Linked DNA regions of Astyanax mexicanus. The protein of the gene in region 2 interacts with the protein of the main gene of each other region in a pairwise test. Links are inferred from orthologs where the notes say so. Each region holds a gene or a part of one and is shown on either strand. Other genes may lie near its edges. The genes, in order: protein FAM124B, trim37, mcm10 and bifunctional polynucleotide phosphatase/kinase.

Evidence for each region.
Region 1: the proteins of trim37 (region 2) and protein FAM124B interact in a two-hybrid assay, tested with the Homo sapiens proteins (2 studies listed by BioGRID and IntAct). The link is inferred for Astyanax mexicanus from reciprocal best matches to the Homo sapiens genes TRIM37 and FAM124B.
Region 3: the proteins of trim37 (region 2) and mcm10 interact in a two-hybrid assay, tested with the Homo sapiens proteins (2 studies listed by BioGRID and IntAct). The link is inferred for Astyanax mexicanus from reciprocal best matches to the Homo sapiens genes TRIM37 and MCM10.
Region 4: the proteins of trim37 (region 2) and bifunctional polynucleotide phosphatase/kinase interact in binary tests that used the Homo sapiens proteins (3 or more experiments, as listed by UniProt). The two-hybrid records come from large-scale screens. The link is inferred for Astyanax mexicanus from reciprocal best matches to the Homo sapiens genes TRIM37 and PNKP.

The regions. Positions count from the first base shown.
Region 1 is NC_064411.1:43,418,440-43,425,591, reverse strand, and holds the start of protein FAM124B, read right to left. Parts: upstream 3,004-7,152; 5' UTR 2,655-3,003; coding exon 2,581-2,654; intron 1,328-2,580; coding exon 1,296-1,327; intron 1,108-1,295; coding exon 320-1,107; intron 1-319. Other genes in the region: cul3b (cullin-3b), read right to left, coding at 5,746-5,877.
Region 2 is NC_064427.1:11,628,263-11,635,170, reverse strand, and holds the start of trim37 (E3 ubiquitin-protein ligase TRIM37), read left to right. Parts: upstream 1-3,887; 5' UTR 3,888-4,044; intron 4,045-4,835; 5' UTR 4,836-4,898; coding exon 4,899-4,919; intron 4,920-6,354; coding exon 6,355-6,456; intron 6,457-6,908. UniProt on the Homo sapiens protein: E3 ubiquitin-protein ligase required to prevent centriole reduplication. Probably acts by ubiquitinating positive regulators of centriole reduplication.
Region 3 is NC_064409.1:12,340,526-12,347,766, forward strand, and holds the start of mcm10 (protein MCM10 homolog), read left to right. Parts: upstream 1-4,217; 5' UTR 4,218-4,566; coding exon 4,567-4,573; intron 4,574-6,155; coding exon 6,156-6,392; intron 6,393-6,497; coding exon 6,498-6,806; intron 6,807-7,241. UniProt on the Homo sapiens protein: Acts as a replication initiation factor that brings together the MCM2-7 helicase and the DNA polymerase alpha/primase complex in order to initiate DNA replication. Additionally, plays a role in preventing DNA damage during replication.
Region 4 is NC_064425.1:32,500,835-32,508,295, forward strand, and holds the start of bifunctional polynucleotide phosphatase/kinase, read left to right. Parts: upstream 1-4,457; 5' UTR 4,458-4,607; exon of another isoform or gene 4,608-4,634; intron 4,635-4,840; 5' UTR 4,841-4,894; coding exon 4,895-5,015; intron 5,016-7,461. UniProt on the Homo sapiens protein: Plays a key role in the repair of DNA damage, functioning as part of both the non-homologous end-joining (NHEJ) and base excision repair (BER) pathways.

The DNA.
Region 1 (7,152 bases), on a different chromosome or scaffold from region 2:
TACCTCTTTACAGTTTTCCAACTGACAGACCAAAAGCTGTACAGGACTAGGATAGTAGTTGTATTCAATGTAACTTAGCCTTAGTATTTATTTGTTTACCAAAAGACTGGCTGACTTTCTTTGTGCACATTTCCGCTATCTACTGTGATCTACTGTGGATTTCTGTGGTCTTTATAAGGCTTTTTGATTCAATGTAGTAGCAAAAAGCACCTGCCTAATGCCAGGCATAGCCTGGAAAAGTATATCTAGTAGAAAGCCTTCCCCAGAGGACTGTTTCAGCAGTTACTCCAACAAAAGCAGGATGAATGAGCAACCTTACCTGAAAGAGGATCTTGTTGCCATCCAAGTCTTCGGTCTGCCAGCGGGTGGCACTTATAGGTGAACAAGGGTTCGGGAGCAATGGCACCAATTGACCAATCTCGCCCACTCTAAACTGCAGCACAGCAGAGTGGCATGTTTCAACCCTAACCCCAGGAGAGAGCTGTTTGAGGGCGAGTTGCAGACTGAGTCCCCTCTCTGCCATCAGGGTGAACCAACAGAACCCGGCTTTCTGCTCTTCTGCCCTCCTCCTCAGAACAGTTTCATATAGCCTCACAGTGTCCTCGTAGTTATCATAGCAGCTGTGTAATGTCAGACGCACCACTTCCCCTCCACAGTGCACCGGCCGTACCCCCCACACTGGCATGCCAGTGCCCAGGCTGTAGAAGTCCCGGCTGGGCAGCAGGTACGGCCGCAACAGGGCACTGGAGGGTGAGCTGGTGGAGCTGATGTGGACGCCCTGTCCCGTCCTACTTCCACAACTCTCCGTGTGGTGGTACTGCCAAGGTGGACACTGGAGGAAGTCCAGAACTCTGAGGATACGCTCCTCCCCATACGACTCATGCAGGAACAGGGTTACCGCCAGGGACGGGTAGCCGGCCACAGGTGGCAGGGCGTAGTCACGCACTGGACAGGCGCGTTCCGACACATGGAAGAGGCGAAGACCAGGGCACACCCATTTCAGGAGGCGGTCCAGGGTGTGCTGGAGGAGGAGAGAGTCTCCAGGGTTGGCCAGCAGGTGCATGGTGACCAGCGGGGGCTCCTGACCCGGGCCTGCCATGAGGTCAACTAATCGCAACAGACACAAAGAGGCAGAGGCGGGGAAGAGGGAGGATTATAGAAAGTGCTGAAAGCATAAAAACAGGTTTAAAATTGTGGCTTCAAGCTGATTACTGCAACATGCAGTGGGTTTAACATGAACATGACTGAATTGCAATAAAGACCTAATCCAATTTAAGTATACAAACTGTACTTACGGCTGCTGCAAGATATTTTGCTGCAGTCGGACCTGCAAGTAAAGACAGTCAGAGCTGTGAACAATTCTTAGCTTACCACAAAATACTCTAATATAGACTTCTTGTAAGTATTTTGGACAATTTTATGAACATTCTTAGGAAGATACAGGTACAAGTCCCAATATTACTATTAATAATAATGCTACTACTACTGTTACTACTACCACTATTACTGATACTACTACTACTACTACTGTTACTACTACTATTACTACTTTTGCTATTGTTACTACTACTACTACTACTACTAATAATAATAATAATAATACGAATATAAACACTTTTAAAGAAATATATTCAACAAAAAAAATTAAATCAGTTATTTTTCTTCTCATATTTATGATGTAAAATTAACTGTAGCATGTGATATCTCGATAAAGCAAAGCTTTTGCGAATACTTTATAAATGCATAACTTTATTGTTATTATCATGACTATTATAAATAATAATAATAATAATAATAATAATAATACGAAAAATCTTAGAAACCTAACCTAAGTAACTTATATTTTTGTATGATTAATTAATTCACAGCGGTGGGGGGGAAAGAGGCAAATCTGAAATCGATTAACGTAGATTAACGTTAAAATAGATCTGAAAAGAGTCTTGAGACTAGTTATAACATCTGTTTGCATTGCTTATTCTGAATATTTCAGTTAACTTAACGTTATGCTTTAACTTTAAAAAAAGACAGAGAAAAAATATATATCGTTCACAAAAAAAAAGTAATTAATTCTTATTAAACATGGGCAAATGCTGTGGGTTTGCTGGCTTTTATTTATCAAACAATAAAATTAAAAATATCATACAAATAAACAAGTGTTTTTTGTTGTAATAAAAAGTATATTAATATTAGGAACCTAAGTAATATATATATATGTATAATTAACGTTAGTTAACTAACTTAACTTCACAGCGGGAAAAAGGCAATCTGGAGTCGATTAACGTTAAATTAGATTAACGGTAATTATTTTAAAATAACATAAGATAACTTTATTTTTTTATCTGAAAAGTCTTGAGAATAGTTCTAAACCTTTCTTTTCTCGTTTTTTAATTGTTTAGTTACACTTTTAGTTGAAAAAGACAGTAAAAACAGTGAATTCCAAGTAATTAATCCAGTTCAGCGTTTTTATAGCTGCAGCGGCTCTCCGTCGCCCTCCTGGAGACACCAAACAAAGTCACTAAGCGACCCTCAGCCAACAGTAGCATCTGATGCTAAAGCTAAAGCTAACTATAAGTAACTCACCCTGCGGTCTCCGCTCCGGAGTCTGCGGGCTCATCCTCCACCCTGCTGTGGTATAGGTAGGGTTTGCGCAGCATTATTCCACCATTTACTCCTTTTTTCTTGTCTGAATTCGTCGTCAAGTGACACACGAACTTTCCATTGCGGAATAAAGCGACCCGCTGCTGCTGCTTTGTAACGTTAGATAAATTTAGGTAAAGTTAACTAAGCTAGTTAGCTAACGCTAGCTAAGCTAGTTAGTTGTTTTGGGTTTTGTCTAATTCAGCGTAGTAAATAAAACTAGACACGTCTTTTCCCGTCCCCTAAAAGTGTTTAACAGTGCTGTAAGACTAACTACGTGATGCAAAGCCTCCAGCACAGCTTCCAAAAATGCAGTCTGCAGTATCCAGCTGTATGGGGAAAGGCTACCCCCAGTCTCTCAGACTGGGAATTACAATTCAAACAGATGGCTGTCAGCCCACGACTGGCTGAGACAAAAGAGCAGCAGACGGCTCTGAAAAGATTTTAAGGTACAGGCAGGGTGACCCTGGTATTATTTATTTATCTGGCGAGTTTTAGACATTGTCTGTTCGATTAACCCCCCCACACAGACACGGTGTGAGGCATTCTGAGACAGTGCTATTAGCCAGTTAACAGTTACAGTCATCAACATTAATGCAGTGTATAAGAGAGAAGCTTAACCCTCCTGTTATGTTACAAAAGTTTAGGAAAAATAGTAATTTTTTTCAGGTTGAAACTTAATTAGTGTAACCAACAAAAAATATGAAAATGTTGAAAATTATTATGTACACAGTATCAAAATGCCATTTTTGTGTAAATAATTCTCAGTATTTTTTTGCATCAAGTCTGAAAGCTCTGCATCTATTTTGTTATTTCAGACATTTCTTATTTTCTGCAAATAAATGCTCTAAATGACAATTTTTTTTTATTTGGAATTTGGGAGAAATGTTGCCCTCCTCCAAGTCATAATTTTAAGATAATACCCCCAGATGTATGTCTTCAGCATATTGTTTAATTCTTTTAGCCAAATACTTGATATACGCTCAAATTATAAAAAAAGATTACTGCAAAACTTTGCTTGAAATTATGTCCTAGACAGATATGTAAATGATTACAGGTGTGGTCTGATTAGAAACTGGGTATTTCCACAATAAACAATGACATTTTAACCCCTGCTTTCCTATAAAAAAGAGGAGCTACTTTTGGATAGTGTACCTTATGGTGAGAGATTGTTGACGGTTGGGACATTAAGACAATTTGGCCAGTTGAAAGACTTTGAAAAGTAGCACATCATTGGACTGGAAAAGCAAGATGGTTGTTTCACAAATTGTCCACAATCTAGGCCACCTGTCAGCCAGGCACCATCACAGTGCAGTGGTGTTGTGAGACTATTGTGAACACGTTGCTGTCTTTGCTGTGGAGTGACACTGCGCCATATGCTGATGTTATGATAAAATTCAGTCTCGGGCTGCTAAAGGCTTTTTCAATTTGTATGTGTACGTTAATCCTTAAGGTAAATATACAGTAGGGGTGTGCCATATTGAGTCGTTCGCGATAATATCGGAAACATTTTTGAATATCGTGAACGATATTATACCCTAAAAATATTGTGCCATATCACCCACCCCTCATGATCACATCAGGGTACTCATTTTTTTTGCTGTTTTTAGCAAAAGAATAATCACACTGTTTTCATTTTCCATTATATATCTACTAGAGACAGATTATATCTGTCCAGTATCATTTATTTTATTTTAATCCTGGATATATGGGGATATTTGGAGTGCATTATTATTAGTATCGTATACATAAATCATATGCAATATAATAATAAAATAATATAATAAAATAAAAAAATCATTTTGTTGCAGTAGTGTATTCTTAAATACAAACAAATAATTAATTTATATCGCCAAGAGTATCGTTGTCGCGAAAATACCATGAAATATCGTGATATTATTTTAGGACCATATCACCCACCCCTAATATACAGTCTGGACTGTTATGTAACAGTTTCAGGTTTTTGGAACTGGCCCATATTTTTCCCTATTATACTCATGTTTATTAAAATACCAACCATATACCAAGCTTTACTGTGACAATGGGGGAACGTGATTTCTTACAATGCAAATAAACACCCAAAGCAGCAAATCCATTTATTTTTTCCTCCTTTTTCTACATTTAATAATGATGAAAACAAGGCCCTGTACAGTCCACTTCAGTGAGTACAATAACAATTATTTTACAATTTTTACACATTGAGACATGGTGCTCCAGAAGTTCCTCCTTTGCTAGAAGAAAAAAAGGGAAAAAAAACTTAATAATAATAATAATAATAATAATAACTGCATTGGAAGGACCCCCTACAAAAAGCTAATGTTTAAATTTTACATTTGGCCATGCCAAATCTGGAAAGAAATATGGAAAAAAATACAACCAAACCACTTCTTTAATAAACTTTGAAAAAGTTATTTCACCCCTCTTCAGAAAAGGCATGCTCAGAAAGCAACTACTATGGCTCTTCGATAAACGACGACGTCCTCCTTTTTAAAATCTTCTGCAGGCAGCCAATAGTGTTAAACAACCTGTACAACCAACATGGTGCCACAGACTACAAACACGTCTACACAGACATTGGGGGGAGGGAGCTGAAATAAAAATCAGTCTGGGAAGGTGTGCGTATTACACTCTGACCTGAATGGCCTTCAGGAGCCATCCCGCGCTGGAAAGAAAAACAATAAACCCACATCACTCTTGTCTTATTTGGGCACTTTCGTTGTTGGATTTGTAGGTCAGGTTTATAGGCTTCATCGCGACTCTATCACAGTTCTCTCACAGAGACGGACACCTCGTCTACAAGCCCAGAGCTGAATCTGATCCAGCTCCATGGGGGCTTTGGAAGGCTTTTGTGTGAATCGCTAAGAGCTATTTAAAACAAGTCCGTACAACAGGTTAAAGGTTAACTTCTCAGTTTTCCCCAGTAGCGATGAAAAAAAAAAGAAGAAAAAAAAGAAAAAAAAAAAAAAAGAAACAAAACAAAACAAAAAATAAATAAAAAAAACAATTAACCTCCCAGTTCATGCGTATGACCAAGTCCCAGAACTAATGCTCTCACACTCACGCTCCCTTTCACTCCACACCAGGTTTCACTTGAAATTCACGCCGCGTTTATGCTACGTAAGTGTACACTTTACGGTCTTCTGGCGTTCTTGCCAAGTATTCCCTCTCAATAAGTCCTTCAATGCGCTTTTTAATGACCACAGGACTTGGGAGGAATCGTGCCCGCAACTGCTGAGTGACCTGCAGGAGAGTGAAAGAAAACGGTTGGGTGGTTAACAAACATTAAACAGAAAAAAAGAGATAACATTTAAATAAACTTATTTTATAAATATTAAACATAATGCTTGTCATGCATTAAATATATACACTTTATTTTAGTAATCTGTGAATTCTGGTTGTGTTTCACCATATATATATTCCTTTAAAGACTTGAATATTTTTGATTGCTGAATTACATGTACAGGTGCTGGTCAACGAATTAGAATAATTTGAAATAGTGCAATCATGAAATTCTTTGAATGCATTTTTTGTGCAGAAAGCAAATCAGGTGTTCACCGCACCTGTCCTACTCGTTAGACTAATCACAGAACTCGTTACCTGGAAAAAAAATTGCTCAGCTGAGCTTTCTAAAAGGCCCATTTAGGCCATTTAACTGTGACACTGTTGTTTTATTGAATTAGAATAATGGAGAAACCGTTTCATTGAATTAGAATAAATGCTCGAATTTTTGTTTTCTGTGAAGAGTGTTCACTGTGCAGTATAAAGTCAGGGTTGAGTAGAATTTAAGTTGTAAAATCAATCATGGGTAAGCAGCGCGACCTCTCAACCGGAATAGTGGCTCAAATTCAAGCCCTTCGCCAACAAGGCTTGACCCAAACTAAAATTGCTGAGCAGCTCGGCATCAGCCAGTCTTCCGTCTGCAAAGCTCTCAAGAAAAACTGCAGCAAGCGCACCAACTGTTCCGGCGTCCGAAAAACTTCTGCTCGCGACAACAAGCAGCTGAGAAAGATCGCAGTCAGCAACCGGTTCAAGTCCACTTCCGAGCTCACCGACTTGTGGAACAAGCAGACCGGCGCTGACGTCTCCAGATCAACCACTTACCGTCGTCTGCGCGAACTCGGCTTCAAATCTCGCGTTCCAGCAGTAAAACCGATGCTGAACAAGAAACAAATGGAGAAACGGCTGAAGTGGGCCAAAGAACACGGCGAGTGGACTGCTGAAGACTGGCAGAAAGTGGTCTTCAGTGACGAATCACGCTTCTGCATCTCCTTCGGTGACCAAGGTCCTCGTGTCTGGCGTCGTGGTGGCGAAACCTACAACCACGAGTGCGTGAAAAGATCCGTCAAGTTTCCCCAGAGCGTTATGGTCTGGGGATGCATGTCCGCTCGAGGTGTAGGGAAACTCTGCTTCCTCAAGAAGACGGTCAATGCTGCCGTATATCAAGATGTTCTGGAAACGTTCCTGATTCCGACTGTTGAGGAACAGTTCGGCGAAGAAGACTTCATATTTCAACAG
Region 2 (6,908 bases):
CTTGAAATATGACTCCAAATAATGTCAATGCCAATGTTATAAAGTCATGTTAAAAAAAAAAAAACAAACAAAAAAAAACAGATTTTATGTAGCATTTACCAAGATAATTTGGCTGTCTACGGAGATAAGCTTAATGACAGTACAAGCCCAGTGTTTGTTAGAAATGTTAGCCTAGCATCTCATGTTGCAAACTAAAGAATCTCACGTCAGATAGCAATCATCTCAGGTTTACGTCTGAATCTGGGGTCAGTCATTAACATTTGTTTTTTTAGTTTTTCAATAAATATCTCCTTTAACACAAATTTACTCATAGCCTTATCACCAAGTAACAAAAATGATCACTAATTACGGTCATTCGCGACTGAAACGCAGAGGGTTGATCAGGTTGTTTTGTGTTTACACTGATTTTTAGTACTAACAGGTGCACAAACACTAAAATCATTTAAAGCTAATGTTGGGTTTCATCTTAAAGATTTGCTTATTTGTGAGGAGATGTAACATTTTTAATTCATTCATTTATAAAATAAAAGTCACTGGAATTGTTGTGTTGTCTGTGAAAATCTGCAATTGCCCTGTTAATAAAACCTGTATACGTTTGACAGTGTTTGTTTCTGAATGAAATGTGACATTTGAATTGGTAGTATGTTGTAAAATGATTACATTTGTACTTAATCTGGTAGCTCAGCAGTTCAGCTCTACTTAACTCTACAGCTGTTCAACCCCACCTATTCACTCTACAACAGTATAGTTAATTTAAGTTCTAAGCTCCACCAATTTCGCCTATAGAACCGAGTTCCAGTCTGACTCCGTCTACACTGGTTTATCTGTACCTATTTAGCTAATAGCAGTTAAGCCCTATCCATTAATTCCACAGCAATTTATACTGTCCAATTCAGCCTACAGCAGTATAGCTCATTCTAGCTCAGGTGTTTTAACCTGAACTGCTTGTGGAAATAAGCACAGTATAGGGCAGCCAATCAGAACACTAATTTATATACATATGCAATACTACACCTTCTGATTCAATGTTTTTACTACTTTTTCACATTGTAAATTAATAGTAAAATCATCCAGACTAAGAAGGAACATGTAGTAACGTAAAAATTGTTAAACAAACCAAAACACTCTGTGACATATTTAGATGCTCTTGTCTAGGCTGCTGTTAACTTTCAGTTTCTGAGGCTGGAAACTCTGATTAACTTATCCTGTGCAACTGAGGAAACTCTTGCCTAGGGAAGTCCTGATGACAGCTAGTTTTATGTTTTGATGGTCTTTGCGTCTGCACTTGAGGATAGTTTCAAAGTTCTTGACATTTTTGGATTGACTTAATTTATTTATTTATTCATTTTTTCTTTGTTTATGTGAGTAGTTCTTGCCATAATATGAATTAGTGCTATTTACTGTATACCAACTCTAACTCTTCACAACTTTACAAATGATGCTTTCAAACACCCTAAGAGGGCAAGAGCTTAACTGAAGAGCTGTTAACTGAAAGCTGTTCCAGGTGACTGAGAAAATCCAGCCAATATGTGCAAATCTAAGCAAGAGGATCTAAAATATAAAACATATTCTGTTGTGTTTAACACTTCTTTGTTAACTAAATCATGAAATGCCACTGAATTTAAGACGTGTCCAGGCCAAACTGGTACTGGACTGGAACTGTAATTATTATTATTATTTTTTTTTGGGGATGGTTTAAAGTGAGCTTAATTCTATATGATCTGGATTCATTATGAAAACGCAGAACAATACTGACACCTAGTGGTCTGTTTAAATGGAAAAGCTCTGACAGCAAACGTACTGCAATTAAGCGTCTGTTATTTTCTACAAAACATTCTACTATTCCTCTAAATCATGATAAACAACCTTTCATACACTAAAGAAAAACAAAACATTTATAGAACAAGCTTAATGTAATATAATTAAAGCATATATAATCACAATGAAATGCTAACCCTACACACTATTAATACATATCAAAATACACTAATACAAATGGCCAAGTTAAAAAGTAACGGTGGATGATCTCATCATTGAATCAGAGCTGTGACAGGGTGTTTAGTTTTCGTATATAACTATTTAATTTGTACGAGAACATTTGGGATGTTCCAAAATGGCCCGTTTTAATAAAGGCCGCACGTTCCTCCAAACTGCTGCTGCAGCTCTCCAGGCTCACTCAGATTAGAATACGGGTCACTTTCTCTCAGGAGACACGAGCACAAAATCTCTCTCTCTCTCTCTCTCTCTCTCTCTCTCTCTCTCTCTCTCTCTCTCTCTCTCTCTCTCTCTCTCTCTCTCTCTCTCTCTCTCTTTCGTTGTTAGGTGAGCTTTGAGGGGGACGTTGTTTAAAATTCTCACAATAATTGATATAGGGGATAATAAAATCACCAGGTTAAACAAGGTTATTGTTTATGAATCTCGTTTTTGTTTAGCGATTTGAGAAGTGTTTACCATCCACTTTAGGAGGAGTGAGTAAAGACTGAGGCTCCATCCCATTTCTATTTTTTACTCCTACCTCTTATTTTCGAATATAACCCTTTCTATTTAGACAGAGTTACAGAGGGGAGGGGGTGAAATCCTCCCCTTAAGAATTGGGACAACTCTTCAAGCTCCTGATACAGATTTAGCTATCGCAGTGGAGTGCTAAATTCCAGAAACCTCGCTGCTGGTTAACTAGTTACTTTATGGTATAATAGGTCTTCAGAAAGGGTGCAGGTGGTGCAGAACTTAATTATTATTGTACATGTCTTAATTCTTCTGTGATGTGGAGTTCAAATTAGCTTTTATTTTCTGTTTCACCTTAAATGGTGCAGCCTCCTCCTTCTGGTGCACCATTTAAGGTGGAAAAGGGAATTTAGCTAGCTAACGCTAGAGACCAACTACTGTTACTGAAAGAAATGGCGATAAACATTAAAACTAAACATTAAACTATGATAATTTAGAAGTTACTGTTATTGTAACAAGGACAATTCTCAATTTTGTGGATTTCTTTGTTTATTTGTGCCACAATCTTGCCAGTGACTCTCAAACCCTCTGTTTTCAGTGTGCCTCTGAAAAATCTCAGTTTCAAAGGCCAAGGAGTGAAATAAGATTGAGCCTTTATACAGTAAATAAAAAAACCTGATCTTCCTGAGTTTTGAATAGTTGTCCAGATTCCTAAAAGTAACTGATTAAGTTATGTGCTCATACTTTAGCCTCTTTTACGAAAAAGCTGAAAACATATCTGTTTACCTAAGCATTCCACAATAATTAACTTGCTCTGCTTTGCACATTGTTAGTACTTAATTTCTTGTAGTATTTTTTGTTCATTACTTACATATTCTTTTAATTATAATATCTTGTCATTGTCTTGAACATTGTTCTGTATCATATCTTAAATTTATTTTTTATATTTAAATTGTATTTATTGTAATTCTGTTAGAAATGTCTTTCTAGTTGTAATGCCACTTTTATTCTAATTCATTTAGTTAATTTTCTTTATTTTCTTTATTATTTTATTCTTTATTTATTTTATTGTTTTGGTTATATTTAAATCATGTTTTATCCATACTTTATTCTTATTTTATTTTTGTTTCCATTTTTATTGTTATTGGTTATGTGACTGTGTATTTTTTAGTTTGTATTAAAAGTGCTATATAAATAAACTTGCCTTGTCTTGCCTTACGGTAGTTAATGTATGAACAGGCTAAAATATAATATAAACATATACATATTTCACTTTTCTCCACAGTATTGATCGATTACTGGTAATCTGCAGCAGAGCTGCAATGCAGCTTTCTTGAGATGTGGGTGGGGTGTGAGATCAAACCCCACCTTCTCATTCCCAAGGACGTTTTTGATTGGTTTTCGTAAAACAGAGCAACTGCTGTGATTGGTGGAAGCGGTTTCCCATGGTGACGGACACTGCCCAGCAGCAGTGGGAATGCTAAGCTAACGCACTGCTAACGGCTGCAGGAGGAGGAATATCGGTGACTGAACTGTGACAGTTAATGTTGATGTAGAGGTTTTATACAGAATATCGCCCGCTGAGAGTCACACTGCGAGGTAACGCCAAACTCTTCACACCTTAATTTCCAGAGAAACATTTAATGTAAGCTAGCCAGCGTTAGCTAGCTAACTGAGTCGTAGCTATGCTATGCTAAAGGTAGACACTGTTTATAAGCCGTGTGGGTGAACTCGAGCTCTAATCAATCGATTTATCTGATTGAAATCGGGATTAACCCTAATTCAGCGCCGTATCGCTTTAGTTGAGTGTAATTTATATATTTCTTTGTTTTCCTCCAGATAGTTTAGCCTGATTTGGCGGCGTTTATATAGCGTTATCTGCTTCTAGTAGTTCTGAACTGATATAAATCGCGTGGTTTAGCGTGCAAATAGATTAAACTCTGCTTTAATATGTTGCTCTTTTTATTTTAATTACTTTAGGGGTGCTTTTTACAACAGTCTGGGTTGTAGCTTGAAGTCAGACTGTCTTTAAGCTTAGGAAACAAGCAAACTAACATCCAAACTTAAAAGCTTAATTTAATCAGGCCTTGCCCTGAATCTGTTTGTTTGTTTGTTTGTTTTAGATAATTCATTCAGAGCACTAAGCTGTATTTTCCACAGTTGTTCACAATTAATTAGGAATAATCTGCTGTGTCTTTTGCTTTAAGGTGAATTTTTAAATACCAATATCAAAACAATACCTTTGCTGCACGTGCTTGTTGTAGTGGTCAGGTCTTAGGTTTGCATACTGATGGTGCTTAACAAGCTTTGTCAATAGTGGTCTGTTGTTTTACCTCAGACATGAATTTCACCCAATCATCTTATCTTGTTCTTTTCTCTTTTCTGATCAGCTCATCTGGGGTCTGTTCACAAGGACCATAGGTTATCTTCAAATACTAATAAAACTGGCTGACATGGATGAGCAGAGTGTAGAGGTAGGTTGAATGTGTGTTTTTTTTTGGTTCAGGCTTTATATTGCATTATTATAAGTTGCTTGGTAATATGGAGCATGTCAATTCAGCTTTCTGGATGACCTCAATTAAGTCCTATTTGGGACTAAATTGCAATTATGGTTATAGTGATTCACACAGAAGTAGTCCAGATTCAGGGTCTGGGAAATTGGGCCATCATGTTTACAGATAAAACATTGTCAGTTTAGGTTGTCTGGAGATTGTAAATTACAGCTGATTACAGTTTTGCAACTAGTTTTTTTGTGTTTCTGAGAAATGTAAACAGATCATTCAGTGCATTAACACCACTGACAGTAAAAGTAACATTGATTTTCTTAGTAGTGTAATCTGAGCTAAGGTGTCAAGTAGAAATACTTAATTACCTTACTTAAGTAAAAATGTTACACAAATATCTAAACTTTTTACTCCTTACAATTAAAAAATACTTGTTACTTCTAGTTAATTTCAGCTCATTTTCATTCCAGCTTCTCATCATTCACATACAGACGTATGTAGCCTAGTGTGAAGATGATCCGTGCCGAGACTCAACTAAGCTTCTTAAATATGTTTGCATTTATTTTCAGTGGGCATATATGCAGCTGAACAGGGAGCCTAGTGCATCTCAAATTTATCAACATTAACATTTTAATATAACATTATAGTCATCATGGTTTAAAAAAAAATGTGTTTTGGGGAGTGGTGGGATGTGGGGTGAAGGTTTTGTCCTTAAAGGCATTTTCCTTACATTAATTTTTGTTTTATACTTACAGTAGTTTTGAAACAAATAAGCGTCTATGACAGGTCAGATTATGGTGGCAAAAGGCCTAGGTCTGAGCATCTTTACAATGGCAGGTCTTTTGGAACGTCCCTGAATAAACCATGTTTAACAGCAACAAGGTCATTAGTTCAATTATGCAATCCATTACAGGATCCAAATTACAGGACTTAAAATATCTTTTGCTAACATATTGGAGCTAAATACCACAGGGTGCCTTCAGAAGTCTTCTGAGTCATTTGTAACCTCAAATGATTAGATATATTACCCAACCCACCCAGTAGGATTCCCCCTATTACTAGCAATGCCACAATACCAGGGGGGTGAAGACTAGCACAAGCCTCCTCCAATACATGTGAATTCAGCCACTGCTGCAGATGCAGCATTGCCGAGTAGCATGACAGCACACTCAGACAATAGTGCAGCCACTCGGTTCTGATACGTCAGCTCATAGATGGCTTGTGCTGATTGACATCACCCTTTGGAGTGATGTGGGAAGAGAGCACCATCTACCCACCCAGAGAGAGCAAGGCCAGTTGTGCTCTTTCAGGGCTCCAGTAGCTGATGGCAAGCCACTAACAGGATTCGAACATGGTTGCATGCATTTGTCATATAATGATGTATGTTTTATTTATCTCCTTTTAGAGTATAGCGGAGGTGTTCCGCTGCTTCATCTGTATGGAGAAGCTGCGAGATGCTCGCCTCTGCCCTCACTGCTCCAAACTCTGCTGTTTCAGCTGCATACGGGTTTGTGTACACACACACACACACACACACACACACACACACACACACATAGAGGGAAGTGTTACACAAAGCTTGATTTTTTTATTTTGTTACATAGCTTAAGTTAGATTGTGCAGTAAGAATGTCCTTTAACTTCAACTTTTTTTTTTTTTTTTTTAATTGAGTTTTCTGGCTAAACTGAGAAAACTTACTTTGTGAAATACCTGCCCAGGGCTGAACAGTTGTTATTGGAATAACTGCACAACTGTCTGTAAGCAAGCACAATTTAGCAAGGTGTTTGTGTCATCCACAAGAAGGTAATGGTAATGTAAAGTATGGCGGTGGCACAAACAGTAATACATTTTATAAAAAGGACATGAATCAGATTCCAGTGCACATGCATAGGACTCTCTCATAGTGAGAAAGCCAGTAAGCAAACAACAGAGAGATTAATTCAGGTTTTGCACCTTACC
Region 3 (7,241 bases), on a different chromosome or scaffold from region 2:
TCTGACTTTAACTCCAGCATCAGCTCACCAATCCGTCAGCTCACAGTAGCAGTAATGCAGCGCCTTTACTGCCTAAAATTCGTTTACTGTAGAAAAACTGAAAAATAAATGGAGGTTTTCTTTGTACATAATTTTAATTTTCAACATCAAAGGATTTTCTGGCTAAGTGAACAGTTACTGTTTAATTTCACACTAAATAATCTATTACTGTTTTTTATTACCACCAGAGGGCGCTGTCGAGTGAGCCCAAAACGAATAAGTTCCTATGGAGCAATTGAGCATTTTTGTGTTCAAAAATGGTTAATGTTATCATTTCATCAACATAGAACAATAGTCATTTTCTGATATAATGGTGGAGAAAAAAAAGTAGGCAGTCTCTCTATAAACCAGCTCTGATATTACAGCTTTATTATCGAGGTCTACTGTTTTTAACAGCGACACTAAAACCACAGAATACACACTAAATAATCTATTCCCGTTTTTGACCACCAGATGGCGCTGTTGAGCCCAAAATGAATACGTTCTTAATGATCCATTGAGCAAAATCTAAGTTTATAAATGTTTTATGTTCTCATTTCATCAACACAGAACAAATATCACATATTTTAATACCGCAGATATAATGTTTTAGGTTTTAAACTCCAGTTATAAATATTTTAAACTCAGTGCTCTGACTGTAACTCCAGCATCAGCTCACCAATCCGTCAGCTCACAGTAGCAGTAATGCAGCGCCTTTACTGCCTAAAATTCGTTTACTGTAGAAAAACTGAAAAATAAATGGAGGTTTTCTTTGTACATAATTCTAATTTTCAACATTAAAGGATTTTCTGGCTAAGTGAACAGTTACTGTTTAATTTCACACTAAATAATCTATTCCTATTTTTTTACCACCAGAGGGCGCTGTCGAGTGAGCCCAAAACGAATAAATTCATATGGAGCAATTGAGCATTTTTGAGTTCAAAAATGGTTAATGTTATCATTTCATCAACATAGAACAATAGTCATTTTCTGATATAATGGTGGAGAAAAAAAGAAGGCAGTCTCTCCATAAACCAGCTCTGATATTACAGCTTTATTATCGAGGTCTACTGTTTTTAACAGCGACACCAAAACCACAGAATACACACTAAATAATCTATTCCCGTTTTTGACCACCAGAGGGCGCTGTCGAGTGAGCAAAAATATACTACGTTCATATGGATCCATTGAGCAAAATCTAAGTTTATAAATGTTTTACTTTCTCACAGTAGTAGTACTACAGCACTTTTTACTGTCTAAAATTCGTTTACTGTAGAAAAACTGAAACATAAATGGAGGTTTTCTTTGTACATAATTCTAATTTCCAACATTAAAATAATGTTCTGGCTAAATGGACAGTTACTATGTTTAATTTCACACTAAATAATCTAGTTCCGTTTTTTTACCACCAGAGGGCGCTCCCGAGTGAGCCCCACAATTTCACAATGGAGCAAAAAACTGAGCGAAATTCGGGTTTATAAATGTTTAGTGTTCTCATTCCATCAACACAGAAGAATATCACGTTTTTTATACCGCAGAAATATTTTAAAGCTTTTAAACTCCAGTTATAAATATTTTAAACACAGTGCTCTAACTGTAACTCCAGTATCAGCTCATCTTCCAGTCAGCTCACAGTAGCAGTAGTGCCTTTACTGCCTAAAATCTGTTTACTGTAGAAAAACTGAAAAATAAAGTGAGTTTTTCTTTGTACATAATTCTAATTTCCTACATTAAAGGAATTTCCTGGCTAGGTGAACAGTACTATTTTTATTTTGAGTTTCAGCTATTTAGCTCCATTCACCCCCATTCATTTTGGACTCATTCCCTCTAGAGGTTATCAGCAATTTCCTGATTTAACGGTGGAGATAGTACAGTGGGCAGTCTCTCCATAAACCAGCCCTCATATTACGACTTTATTATCAAGTCTACTATGTGTAACAGCGGCACTAAAACCACAGAACCTCTACACAGGAGAATGCACACAAAATAATTTATTGCCGGTTGGTTTTTTTAACCACCAAAGGGCGCTTCTGAATAAGCCCCACAATTAATAATTTTCTACGGATTAACTGATCAAAAAGTTTATAATATTTAATGTTCTCATTTCATCACCACAGAACAATAGTTCATGTTTTAATACCGCAGCTATATAGTTTTTTAAGTTTTCAAACTCCAGTTATAAACATTTCAAACCCAGGGCTTGAGTTCGATCCGTTTAATGTAGAAAAACTAAATAATATAGGGGGATTTTCTTTGTACATAATTATGATTTTTCAAAATCAAAGAAATTTCCAGGCCAAATGGACAGCTGCGATGTTTCATTTTTTTTTCTATTTTAACAGCGACACTAAAACCACAGAACTTCTACACAAACGATTGCCCACTTAATAATCTTTGCCGGGTTTGTTTTACCACCAGAGGGCGCTCCCAAGTGAGCCCAGATTTAATAGGTTCATATGGAGCAACTGAGCAAAATTGTTGTCAACAAATGCTTGATCATTTGTACACTGAAAATTTTACTTACATTTTTTTAACACAAGACAAATTAAAATGTTTTTGTACCTCAGACATATACATTTTTAAAGCTTTTAAACTCCAGCTATAAACCTTTTAAACTCTAATGCTTGCGTCTTTACTGCCTATAACCCGTTTGCTGTAGAAAAAATATATTGGTATGTTTTCTTTGCCTTTTCTTTGTCTTTTCAGTAACTTTAATCTACTTTATGAAATTAAATGAATATATTGGCCAAATGGTTAGTTACTATTTTTATTTGAGGTTTAATCTGTTTAGAGTCATTCACCACCATTCACTGAAGACTCACTCGATGGCTCCCTCTAGCGGTTAAAAGTCATTTTCTCATATATAGGGCATATATGAAGGTGGACAGTCTCTCCATAAAAACAGCTCTGATATGACTTTAATCTGTTTCTGAATGAATGCAGGAGGCTCCCAGCCATGTCTGATCTGAAGTTAGTAATCTAGCCTTCTGTTTCACTGTATGACAACACGGCTAAACACTCATTAGGTAGCAGGGAGCTGTCATTTCATCACTACAGATCCTACAGTGGCGATTCTAGGATCAGAGGTTTAACCTCGAGATATTCCAGAAGCAGAAGACCTTATCAGCAAAAATCCAACAAAGTGCAAAAACAACAAAGACAACCTAAACCTAAACGCAAATCATTTTCCAATAACTGCAAAGGATAAATATTATTTTACATTTGATTTTTAAACTTTTGTTTGCAGGTTTTATTAATTTGTGTCAAACCTTTGGCATAAAATTAACTCCATATATTTTCATTGTAAAAATAATATGTATACTTTTAAGGTTTGAACATTTAAAAAAAAAATTACTAAAAACAAACTCTAGTGTAACTACCAAAAAAAATGCCATAAAACAAAGGTCTGCTTAAAAAATTGCAAACGAACACTTAAAAGCTTCCAAAAATATTGTGATATTATGATATGGAGTATTTTCATTGTGTCAAATTTTTTTTTATTAAAGAAGCACCTAGTCAATATTTTTAAAACTGCAGTACACATATTTTGGACTTATTTTTAAGGATTTGTAAAATGAAAGCAAAATCCAAACACAAAAACTCTCCTGTTTTCACCAGAACTGTCTGTCTGGAGAATAAATTGTGTTCTAAAACCAGGTGTTTCTGTTTGATTGTCCAACCCCTGTATTTTCGTTATTAAAATAATATGTATAGTTTTCAAGGTTTGAAAATTTGTAAGACAAATTTACTCAAAACAAAAAGAAAACTACAAAAACACCCCAGTAAAGGGCTAGCGGCGCCTGTGATCACTACACTGACTTTAAGTTAGGTCTGGTAGTTGAGTGTGGGCAGCAAGTCAGCATGTGTTACGTTTCAGATACGAACGGTATGATCTACACTGCATGAGGACGAAGAACTTTACCGCGCAGATGATTTGAAGATCAGCACCTTAAGGACCGCCTGGCATCCTGTGTGCGCCTGTAGATACGAAGCGGGAGACAGAGAATCGTAAAACCCATTAATAATCAAATCAATTAGAAACAGAATGTTATCTATATAGTGTCATTCATAAACGATATCTATACATAACATACATAACTAAAATTACTTCTCTGTTATTATTACTCTTAATTCATATATATGTTTTTTGAACAGGCACTGGTGTTGCCTTTTGTACTGACGTCGGTTTAGGGCGTATCATATTTTAACATTTTTCGCGCCACCGCAGAGCAGCAGCAGACGGGAACGGGCTGAACAACATTTTACCTGGATTTGGAGTCCATATTCCTGATATATTAAATATTTAGGAATATAATAAGCCCGGTACTGTAGCATTGTTGTGATTGGTGTGTTGCTGGTGTGAGAGCTGGGGGGCGGACTGTGTGTTATTCTGTTTTTGAGTTCAGAAGAACAAATCGACAGATCTGTTCTTCAGAGCTACAGATTCATTTGACCCTGAAAAAATACTGAACATCAGACTCATCAGAATCTTCCATCAGATAAACACAGCGCTGCTTCAGTTCAGAGAGAAGGACTGGAGCTGCAGAGATGACTGGTAAGTAGATCTAGAAGCTGGTTGAATTTGGCTTTTAAACTTTCCACCTTAAATGGCGCGCCGGTTACATACAGTAGCTCATAGTTCGCTTCAGACAGCGGCGGGTTTTAACCCTTTTAGACCCTGCATACTTTACAATAGACATCATGTATTTTCTTTATTTTTAAACATTTTGTTGCACATAACACTATTTAAGAGCTGTTGTCCATCAGAACAGACCATGCAACAGCCAATTATAAACGAAACAGCAGCTTGGTCACATCCACTGCACTGGGAAAACAGTAGTACTAGAGCCATTAAGGCAAAGTAACTTTTTTTTTTTTTTTTTTTACAAATATAATGATAGTGATAAAATATAAATATAGTGATTTAGAACACTTTTTAATTTTACTGTTAATAAAATAAAAATGTCACTATAAAAAAATAAATTATTAAATATTCCAGGTAATAGCTATGATTTATTTGTTTACCATTATTTCCATCACTGGAGATAATTCATGTCTAAAAGGGTTAAGGTGGAGCTGGAAATTAGTTTTTTTTGTTGTTTTATAAACAGAGCTTGTTATTAGCAGATTTAGAGAATCTGTCTTACCTCGTCTCTGTTTGTGTGCCTGTTGTTCATATGGTTTATTATTAGGTAACAGTTATTGTTTGGTAAAAAGTCAGGCAAGTTAGATTAGCCATCGTTAGATAATTTAGCAAAACCAAGTTAGTTAACCTATAATGGTTATAATTATGTTTATATACATTATGTAAATAAGTGAGTATACTCCCACATTTAGCCCTGGTAACGATAATTACGTCATAGATTTACTGTACAATATACGGACATGAGCTCAATACATTTACGAGGCTTTGCTGATATCTTTACAGTCCATTGTTTTGTCAGCATATTTACAGTCTGCATATAAACTACAAACAAACAATTAAAAGTAAATAGTGTAAATCAATCAAATACAAAATAAACAGCTTCCATTAGGTATTTTACAAGGAAGATATATTGTCCCAGAAATTATTACGATAAACAATATTTTTGTAATTTTAAGACCATTAAATTCAAGTAATTATAATGATAATATAGTAGCATGACAAAGCAATTAAACCCTTACATAAACAACACAATGTTAATTAATCATAGATTGGGGGATATATGCTTAATTCTTCCCCTACTGCTGTCCACAACATGAGAATGGAGTGGACAATATCATGAATATCAAATATTATTGAGGGCATGTCAATTTATTGTATGATAAGACAATAATGTAGTTATTGTGAAAGGCCTAGCTTCCAAAAATATCGACATATCACAATATGGTTTCAGTGTGTCAAAAAACATTTATATGATACAATATAACACACCACTAGTTCACTGCTCTTTAGGAGGGTGTAATTGTAGTGTCATGCTTTAATATTAACATTATATCAGTGCTGTAAATTCTACACAAGCTTTGGGTTTGTGTTTAATATGGGATTTCAAGTATCCTAATTGTTAGATTTCAATAATAAATATAATTACTTATCTTTCTAAGTTTTATGAAGATGGACTTTATAATGCCAGTGCTTTCTGATTTACGATTAACAGCAGAGGATGAGAACCTGGACCTGCTGCTTTCCTTGTTTGAGGAGAGTCAGGGTCAGAAGATAGAGACTTCTGCTGCTGGAGAAGAGGACAATCTGGATAATCTGTTTGATGATGATGGTGATGAAGGAGAAGCCTATGCTGAGCCAGAAGAAGAAGAAGCAGAAGAGGTTGTGGAAGCTGCAAACTCAAGTGCAGAAGTGGAAAGTGAACTCAATAAATCCAAAGAGGACTTGGAGGGTAAGGTTAAATAGTTTTACGCTAATGTAACATTTTATTTAAATAAAAATTACTGAGAATCTTAAGTTGACATGTTCTATTGAAATTCCTGTTGTAAAACTTTAGCGGAGTTGAGGAGCATGCGTGAGAAGATGCAGAAGCTACAGCAGCAGCTGCAGGCATCTCAGAAAGGTGCAGATTATAAACCCAAACCTGCTGAAGATAAACCCTCCTCACAGAAACAGATAAGCAGCAGAACTTCACCAGCAGCAAAGCTTCCTGCCAAGCGCCTGACCTCTCCTCAGCAGTCTAGCAAACCTGCTCTACAAACACGTCTTCCCAGCCAATCCCCCCCATCTGCACCGAGAGGGGCTATAGGGTCTCCACCTCTAGAAACAGAGGGCAGGCAGATAACTGCACACCAAGCCAAAGCAGGTACATGTTTTTTCTTATGTATGTACAGAGAGCAATTAAACACAGTTAAGATGCGATCAGTAGAAAATAAGCGCTACAGCAGTCCAGTTTCAAAACACCAGATAGAGTTGTCTGCCCTGCCCACCCTTCCACAGACACAAAGCTCACTCGGGTTGCCAAGCTGAAAACACTGAACCTACACAAACAAGTGCAAGACGAATTCAACAACTTCAATCATGGCAAACGACATTATTAACCATCTTATGTGGATTTTATATAACTTTACATAATGAGTGTTGGGGAATGAGAAGCAGGCAGAGGCAGAAGCCAACACCCACACTGGTTTCTGTGATGTACTGCACAGTTCTAGTAATAAAATACTGGGTTTAGCTCTGCAGACAACAGATGGCAGTGCTTGAACTTTGATGATACACCCTAATTGTTTTATCATTTACT
Region 4 (7,461 bases), on a different chromosome or scaffold from region 2:
CTACTTTTGCAAACTAGTCCTAGGAATTTTGACCAATCCTGTTTGGTATCAAAACACTCGTGAGAGCATGCGCTTCAATATTCATTAAGAAAAAGTTGAAATATGTAAACAATATGGCCGCCATATGCAAATTAGTCCTTCCGGATATATGCCCCATTCACTTCAAGAGGTAAATTTGGAGCACTGTTTCTCAGCAACCGTGCAACCTAGCAAGTTGAAACTTTGCATGCAGAATCTATCATACAGCCTCTAAAGGATGTTCAAAGGGCAACTTAATCAATCAACATGGCTGAACACCATCAGCCAATCAGCATTCAGCAGACATTTTGGCAGGCTGAATGTTGCCCAATCTGGATGATATTTGGCAGTTATGTTCAGGTGGAGACACTGTAGTGACCTGCAAAGTGCTGAAACAATCCGCCCACTGGGGGGCGCTGTTCCAAAAAAACGAGTATATGTCAATCATGCTGTACTATTTTGACATCTAATTGTTTTTGCCATATTTAGTACAGTGGCTCTGACAAATTTCTCAATACAACTATGTTTAAAAAGTGCTTTGTTCATTCATAATTGCTAATTGTTTGAAAATAGCTATATTGAAACTACTCTCTGGATATTTGGCCTATCACCTCCATTTCAGTCTTGCTGCACACTGTAGAGTCTCTAGGTAAATGTTCATTAAAAACATTTGTGAAAATTTCACATACAATACTCTCCAGGCATCAAGCAATCTGTGCGTCCTTGGAATTTCTAACCTAAATTGCTGTAACTCTGCAGTATTTGCTGTAATCTCACAATGTTAAAGACCTCTGTACAATATCACTCTGATGAAGCGCCATTTAATACAGAACTAGATTAAGAATAACTTGACATTACATGTCATATCAGAACATTCACTCCTTTGTGCCTCTTCTCAACATTAATAACAGGTGAAAGACTTTTGATCATTTCTAAATGTGACAGAATGTCTCCAATTGTGTTAGACCTTCTTACACATCACCATCCTATGCTCTAGTAGGCACCATTGTGCTAGTTGGTGCTTGATGAAGCGCCATTTAATTCAGAACTAGATTTATAATAACTTCGTAATTACATGTCATATCAGAACATTCACTCCTTTGTGTTAATTTAAACTTGTTTGGTCAAACATTTCAGCTTGTTCTGCAAAGGTTCAAAGGTCAATCTGAATACCACTTTGTGAACATTCTGGTTGAAGCCACCTGATCAATACCAATAACATGTAGACACCTTTTGACTAGTTCTAACTCACTTAATGAATATCCTACAAAGTTCACTAGATTTACATGTGAATTTAAGCACTGATCAGGTTGAAAGGCCTCTGCTCAACATTAATAACAGGTGAAAAACTTGATAATTTCTAAATGTGACAGGGCATCTCCAATCATATTAGACCTTCTTACACATCACCATTCAATGCTCCAGTAGGCACCATTGTGCAAGTTGGTGCTTGAACCCGATGATTGCCGCTTGCGGCTATATTTATTATTATTATTATTATTATTATTATTATTATTATTATTATTATTATTATTATATATTTTTTTATCATTCATTTCAAACAACCTTACAGGATATAGCACCTAATTATAACACAAGTTAACAATCGGTCCAGACCTTGGCCTTTCGAAATTTCCTCTAACTGGACCATAATGAATTCTAGTTAAGATCTTCCCATACACCTTTTTTTTTTCTTCTGTTTCATCTTCTCACAGACACCATGATAAGAACGTGCTGCCCAGACAGGCTGGAGCTGATCACGTCACTGGAGCTGGACAACAAACTGTTAACTGGACTCTGTTGATGTAGCCAAATTAAAAGATACTATCCAGTTGCATTGGATCCTATTGATTTACATGTCATTTGCACTCTCTCTCTCTCTCTCTCTCTCTGGGTTGTGAATGTGTTGATCTATAGAGATACAATTATACATTGTGTTGACCTGTTGATGTACTTTTACTCTTTTCTAAAGTATCTATTGATATATGTTCCTTTTATATATCTGTAATGCTGAAACAATTTTCAAGTAAAAATTAACTTATTTTAAATTCCAGACTTTAACTCAATATCTATCTTTTTATGCTCTGGGATTTCTCACATTCGAGTTTTAGTCATGCTGTGGTAAATTACTCTACAGTAAAAAAGTGAAATCATTTGCTGGTGAGAATTCAGACACACAATTCATAAAATATCTGTTTAAAATAAAAATAAAAAAATACTTCACGTTGGGACATGTTGACTCTTAGATAATTCATGTTTTGTAAATCTTTTTAAACCATAAATCTTTCAAACAGTTATGCATATGTTCATAAGAGGGTGGAGATCCTGTGTATGTTCAAATATATGCTACAAATAAATGCTACAATTTGTACATGTCCCTTTCGTAATAAAGTATTATAAAAAATATAAATATAATTTAATTTCCAAAAAGTTTCAAAGTCCGATTGGAACTCAAACCCAGAAATGAATGATGTATTCACTTTCGCTTTACTTACATGGTTTGATTTGAGGTGCTGTCCTACTGGCTGTAGAATGAACTGTACTTCTTAATATTACAGGTTTATCCAGCTAATTCCGACGTTAAATCGTGATATATTTATGCTGTGCTGTAATTTTACCAGAATGATTTTCTCTTAACTGCCTGCAGGAGGAACTGATAGATCATTAATCTGTAGGAAATTTTAGTCCAGACCCCTCTCCTCCTCCCCTTCGTTCAACAGAGAGTCTATATAGAGAAGAGCACCCACTCCAGACCGTTTACCCTGTTTATTCAGCCTCCAGAGGGCGCTCCAGAATTAATAAGTTCATATGAAGCAACTGAGCAAAATCAGAGTTTATCTTTGCTGTAGTTGGGCAACAAAGAACAGAACACAAAAATGTGACTTTATAGCAAAAAAGTATCGCAATAAACCCACAGCATATATCAAGGATATCGGAAAAAGGCAGTTTGGCTTTGCCATTAGCAAGCGAGCTAACTAACTTAGTTAGTTAGCGTTAGCGCCACAGGCTAGGCTAGCTAAAGATATAATTACTTTGACTGAGTAACATCTAAGGCAAAAGAAGCACTAAATATCTGTATACAGTAAGAGACACTGTACTAAATCCATAGCTAGCATATATCAATCATATCCAAAAGGGGTCTTTTTTCTCTGTGGTTGCTAGCGTTAGCTATCTCATAGTTAGCACCCACGCAGTTCAGAGACAGTTGGGTCGTCTTTTTAGACTCGGATCTATTAATACAGCAGGGAACACAGCACTGGGCCATATTAACAGACTCAATGCAGTGGTTTAAGAGTATTGCGCAATAATATTGGTGCCAAGTATGATAAAAAAAAAAAAAAAAGCTTTAGCGTGTCATAACAAGAAGCCCTTTTTTTTCTGAAGTACGACATAGTAACTTACAAAAAACAGATTTCTTATAATTACAAGATGTTTATTTTATAATTACGACATACAATGTTGTTTTAACAACATTACTTAAAAACAAGATACTTTTTCATAATAATGGGATATGTATTTTATAATTACGACAGTGATTTTTAAAAATAGGTAGTTTCTCTAAATTAGGGGATGTTTATTTTATTATTACAATATCTCAAAAAACAAGATATTTTCTCGTAATTATGACATTTATTTTATAAATACGACACAGTAACTCATAACAACGAGTTAGTTTCTCATACTAATGCTATGTTTGTTTTATAATTACAACATACTATGTTGTTACGACATACTTTGTCGTTTAAACTATATTAAAGCTCATAAAAACGAGAGTTTCTCGTTATAACGACATGCTAAAGTTTTTTTTAGGAGACTTAGGAGCAATACCTTCAGTAGGAACTCACCAACCAATCAACACTGACTAGCAGCAATGCTAGCGCCTTTACTGAATAAAACCCGTTTACTGTAGAGACATTTAACAATATAGACTAGATTTCTTTACTTTTTTAGTAAAATACTTCATTGTACTTTCCAAAATACAATTAATATACAGGGTAAATAGTTAGTTATGTTTTTAAATAAAGTTTTTGCCGTTTAGCTCTATTTTTCTCTATTTATGAAGGACTTTCTCGCGGGCTCTCTCTAGCGGTGCGCAGTTGCATTATCTGATTATAATAATACGGCATAGCGGGCGGTACCGGAAATAGGTAGTCTTGCCATTAAAACAGCTGTGGCTTGACTTCCACTTGGGAAAATCTATTTATTATTATTTTAAAGGGATGTCTCTTTTGTTCTTTTTTAATGTTAACGTTAATAAATCAATATAACGCACTGTATTATTGTTTGTTCTACTTTATCTTGCGTTTAAAAGGTCAAAAAAGTATTTAAAACAATAATATTTATCAGGACGGGTGATAAACTGAGATTTTAGATGTGTTGTAAAGAAAGTAACCCCCCTATTTCCTTTCTGTGTTTTTTCCTGCGCTTTGAAGTGCGTATGGGAAGTGAGCGAGGGCTGGATTGGGACAGAGTGGGCTGTTGAAAGGGACGCGTTGTGTAGCTGTTTAGATAGTTTGTTAGCCGACTAACTATTATCCTTGTTTTCTGTCGTTTTTAAAGTCTTGAAGGCGTTTTAAAGTCGTAATCTGGTCAGTGCGCTGTTTCGCGTTTGGCTGGTTAGTATGTTAGCTGCTTGAAGGTGGTGGAGAGCTGTTTCTGTTTAGTTTAGTGTTAGTTAGCTAAGATATGCTAAGTGTATTTAAATGTTCTGTGATGTAGGATTATATTAATATTAATATGTATAATTCTGATGTGATTTAAAGCCGTAAAATAAATGATAAGTGAGGAATAAGTGTATTAAATCCTTTTTATTTAACTACAGGTTGCTGGTCGTAGAGCGTAGGGAACAGATAAGTAAACGACCGCACTCCTCGGAATGAAGTGTGCACTACTGAGTCCCTCAGGAGCCCGGGTGGAGCTGTGTGATGGACGCGCCCTGATCCTGGGTCGGGGTCCTGAGTCTGGAGTGAAGGATAAACAGTGTTCCAGACATCAGGGTAAATACACCCTTACAGCCTCTTCTGTATTATACAGAGACCCTAAGGCATACCTGTCAAGTCTCCCGTTTTGGCCGGGAAACTACCGTATTTTATTCCTCTTTCCCGCCGTCCTCCCGTTTTAGTATTTTCCCGTAAATTTCCCGTATTATACTAAATAAAAAATATATATAGGCCACAGGCGACAATGCACTGACCGCTGTGTGTCTCTTAACCAATCGTGGTGCCGGTTCAAGGAGAAAGTCCCGCCTTTCAGGAGAAACAGCCAATCAGCTAGCTGGTTTTGCGGAGCGCAGTTTAGTGTGCGGGAAGCCCCGCCCCTCCCCTCGCTGTGAGTTCAGGCAGCTAGTCGGAGCAGCTGTCGTTAAAACTAATCTGGATATACGGAGATTTTTCTAAAAGAAAGGTAATTAACCATGTAAACTGTGATGAGATTGTTTCTGATAGCTGGTTAAAAAGACTCTTCTCTGAATCAAAACATAAATTAAACCCACTGTGTGTTTAATAAAATACAGCTTAACTTTAGAATTAGCTAGATAGATATTCAGGGTTTGAGAAAAAAAAAAAAAAAAAAAAAAAAAAAAAAAAAAATATATATATATATATATATATATATATATATATATATATATATATATATATATATATATATATATATATATATATATATAATGCCCTGCCCTGATGTGCCTGATCAGCCAATAACTATCATTTCCAAACTCTATTAGTTCAGGGCTAGTTTTAGGGTTTGTTAGAATTTGTTTAAATCTCAAGTATTGTGGTAATGTATTATAATGTAATGTAATGTATTATTTAGAAGGGGTGGAAGAGATGGTTGAGCTGGAGAGAGAGAAAATGTGGAGAGGGCTGAAATTAACTGAACTGATCAGGAGTGGACTGAACAATAGAAAGAAGTATTAATGAAAGATTATTAATTGTGTAGGCCCCTTAGGACTATTATTTACTTATGGAATATATCTGATCCATGTCCTTTTTGTAAATTTGTGCACCCTTCAATTTCAATTTTAAATCTATTAAATAAATAAATAAATAAATATATATATATATATATATATATATATATATATATATATATATATATATATAATATATATATATATATATATATTTTTTTTTTTTTTTCCCTCGTTTGGGCTGTTGGGGCGGCGGAAAAAATCCCTTATTTTTAAGTCCAAAACTTGACAGGTATGCCCTAAGGTGACATCATGTTTAACAAAAAAATATAGCATGGCCACCACTTATTAAGACATGGGAACAAGATACTAACAGGTGGGAATGAAATAATTAAGGCGTGTGAATGAGAAAACTAAGACATGGCCACCACTTATTTAGGCGTGAGAACGAGATCCTAATGGGCGGAAATGAGAAAATGAAGGCTTGGACACAGCTTATGAAGGCATTGGAACGAGATACTAATGTGTGGCAACAACTTATTAAGGTGTGGGAATGACATCCTAACGGGTGGGAATAAGATAATTAAGTTGTGGCCACAGCTTACTAACCTGTGGGAACAAAATGCTAATGCGTTCCCGAAACTTATTAAGGCGTGGGACAACACTCTAATGGGTGGGAATAAGATAATTAAGTCGTAGCCACGAAAAAAATGTAGGCATGGGAACAAGATGCGTGGGAATGAGATTCTACTGGGTGGCAATGAGATAAGTAAGGTGTGTGAATGAGATAATTAAGTTGTGGCCATGACTTATTAAGGCATGGGAACTAGATACTAATGCATGGCAATGTCTTATTAGGCTGTGGGAACGAGATCCTAATGGGTGGGAATGAGATAATTAATGTTTGTGACTGAGATAATTAAGTTGTGGCCATGACTTATGAAGGCATAGGAATGAGATACTAAAGAGTGGGAATGAGATAATTAAGGCAAAGGAATGAGTTTCTAATTGGTGGGAATGAGAAAATTAAATTGTGGCCACAACTTATTAAGGCATGGGAACAAGGTACTAATGCATGTCCACGACTTATGAAGGAGTGGGAACAAGATCCTAATGGGTAGAAATTAGATAATTAAAGTGTGTGAATGAGAAAATTAAGTCATGGCCACGACTCATTACGGTGTTGGAACGAAATCCTAATCGGTGGAAATTATGGTGACATAATGTAAAAAAAAAAAAAGGCAAGGGCACAACTTTTTAAGGAGTGGGAACAACATCCTAATGTGTGGCTACGACTTATTAAGGCTAGGGAACAACATACTAATGGTTGGGAAAGAGATAATTAAGGCATGTAAATGAGATAATTAAGTCATGGCCACAAGAAAATTATGTCGTGGACAGAGAATAATAAAGTTGGCTTTTCTGTAAATGAATGCCCATGATGAAACTGAATATTACATCAAAGCTCCTTTAATTCAAGGATGATCTTAAGAAAATGGAGAGTGGCACCGAGTGGTCCAGCGGTCTAAAGC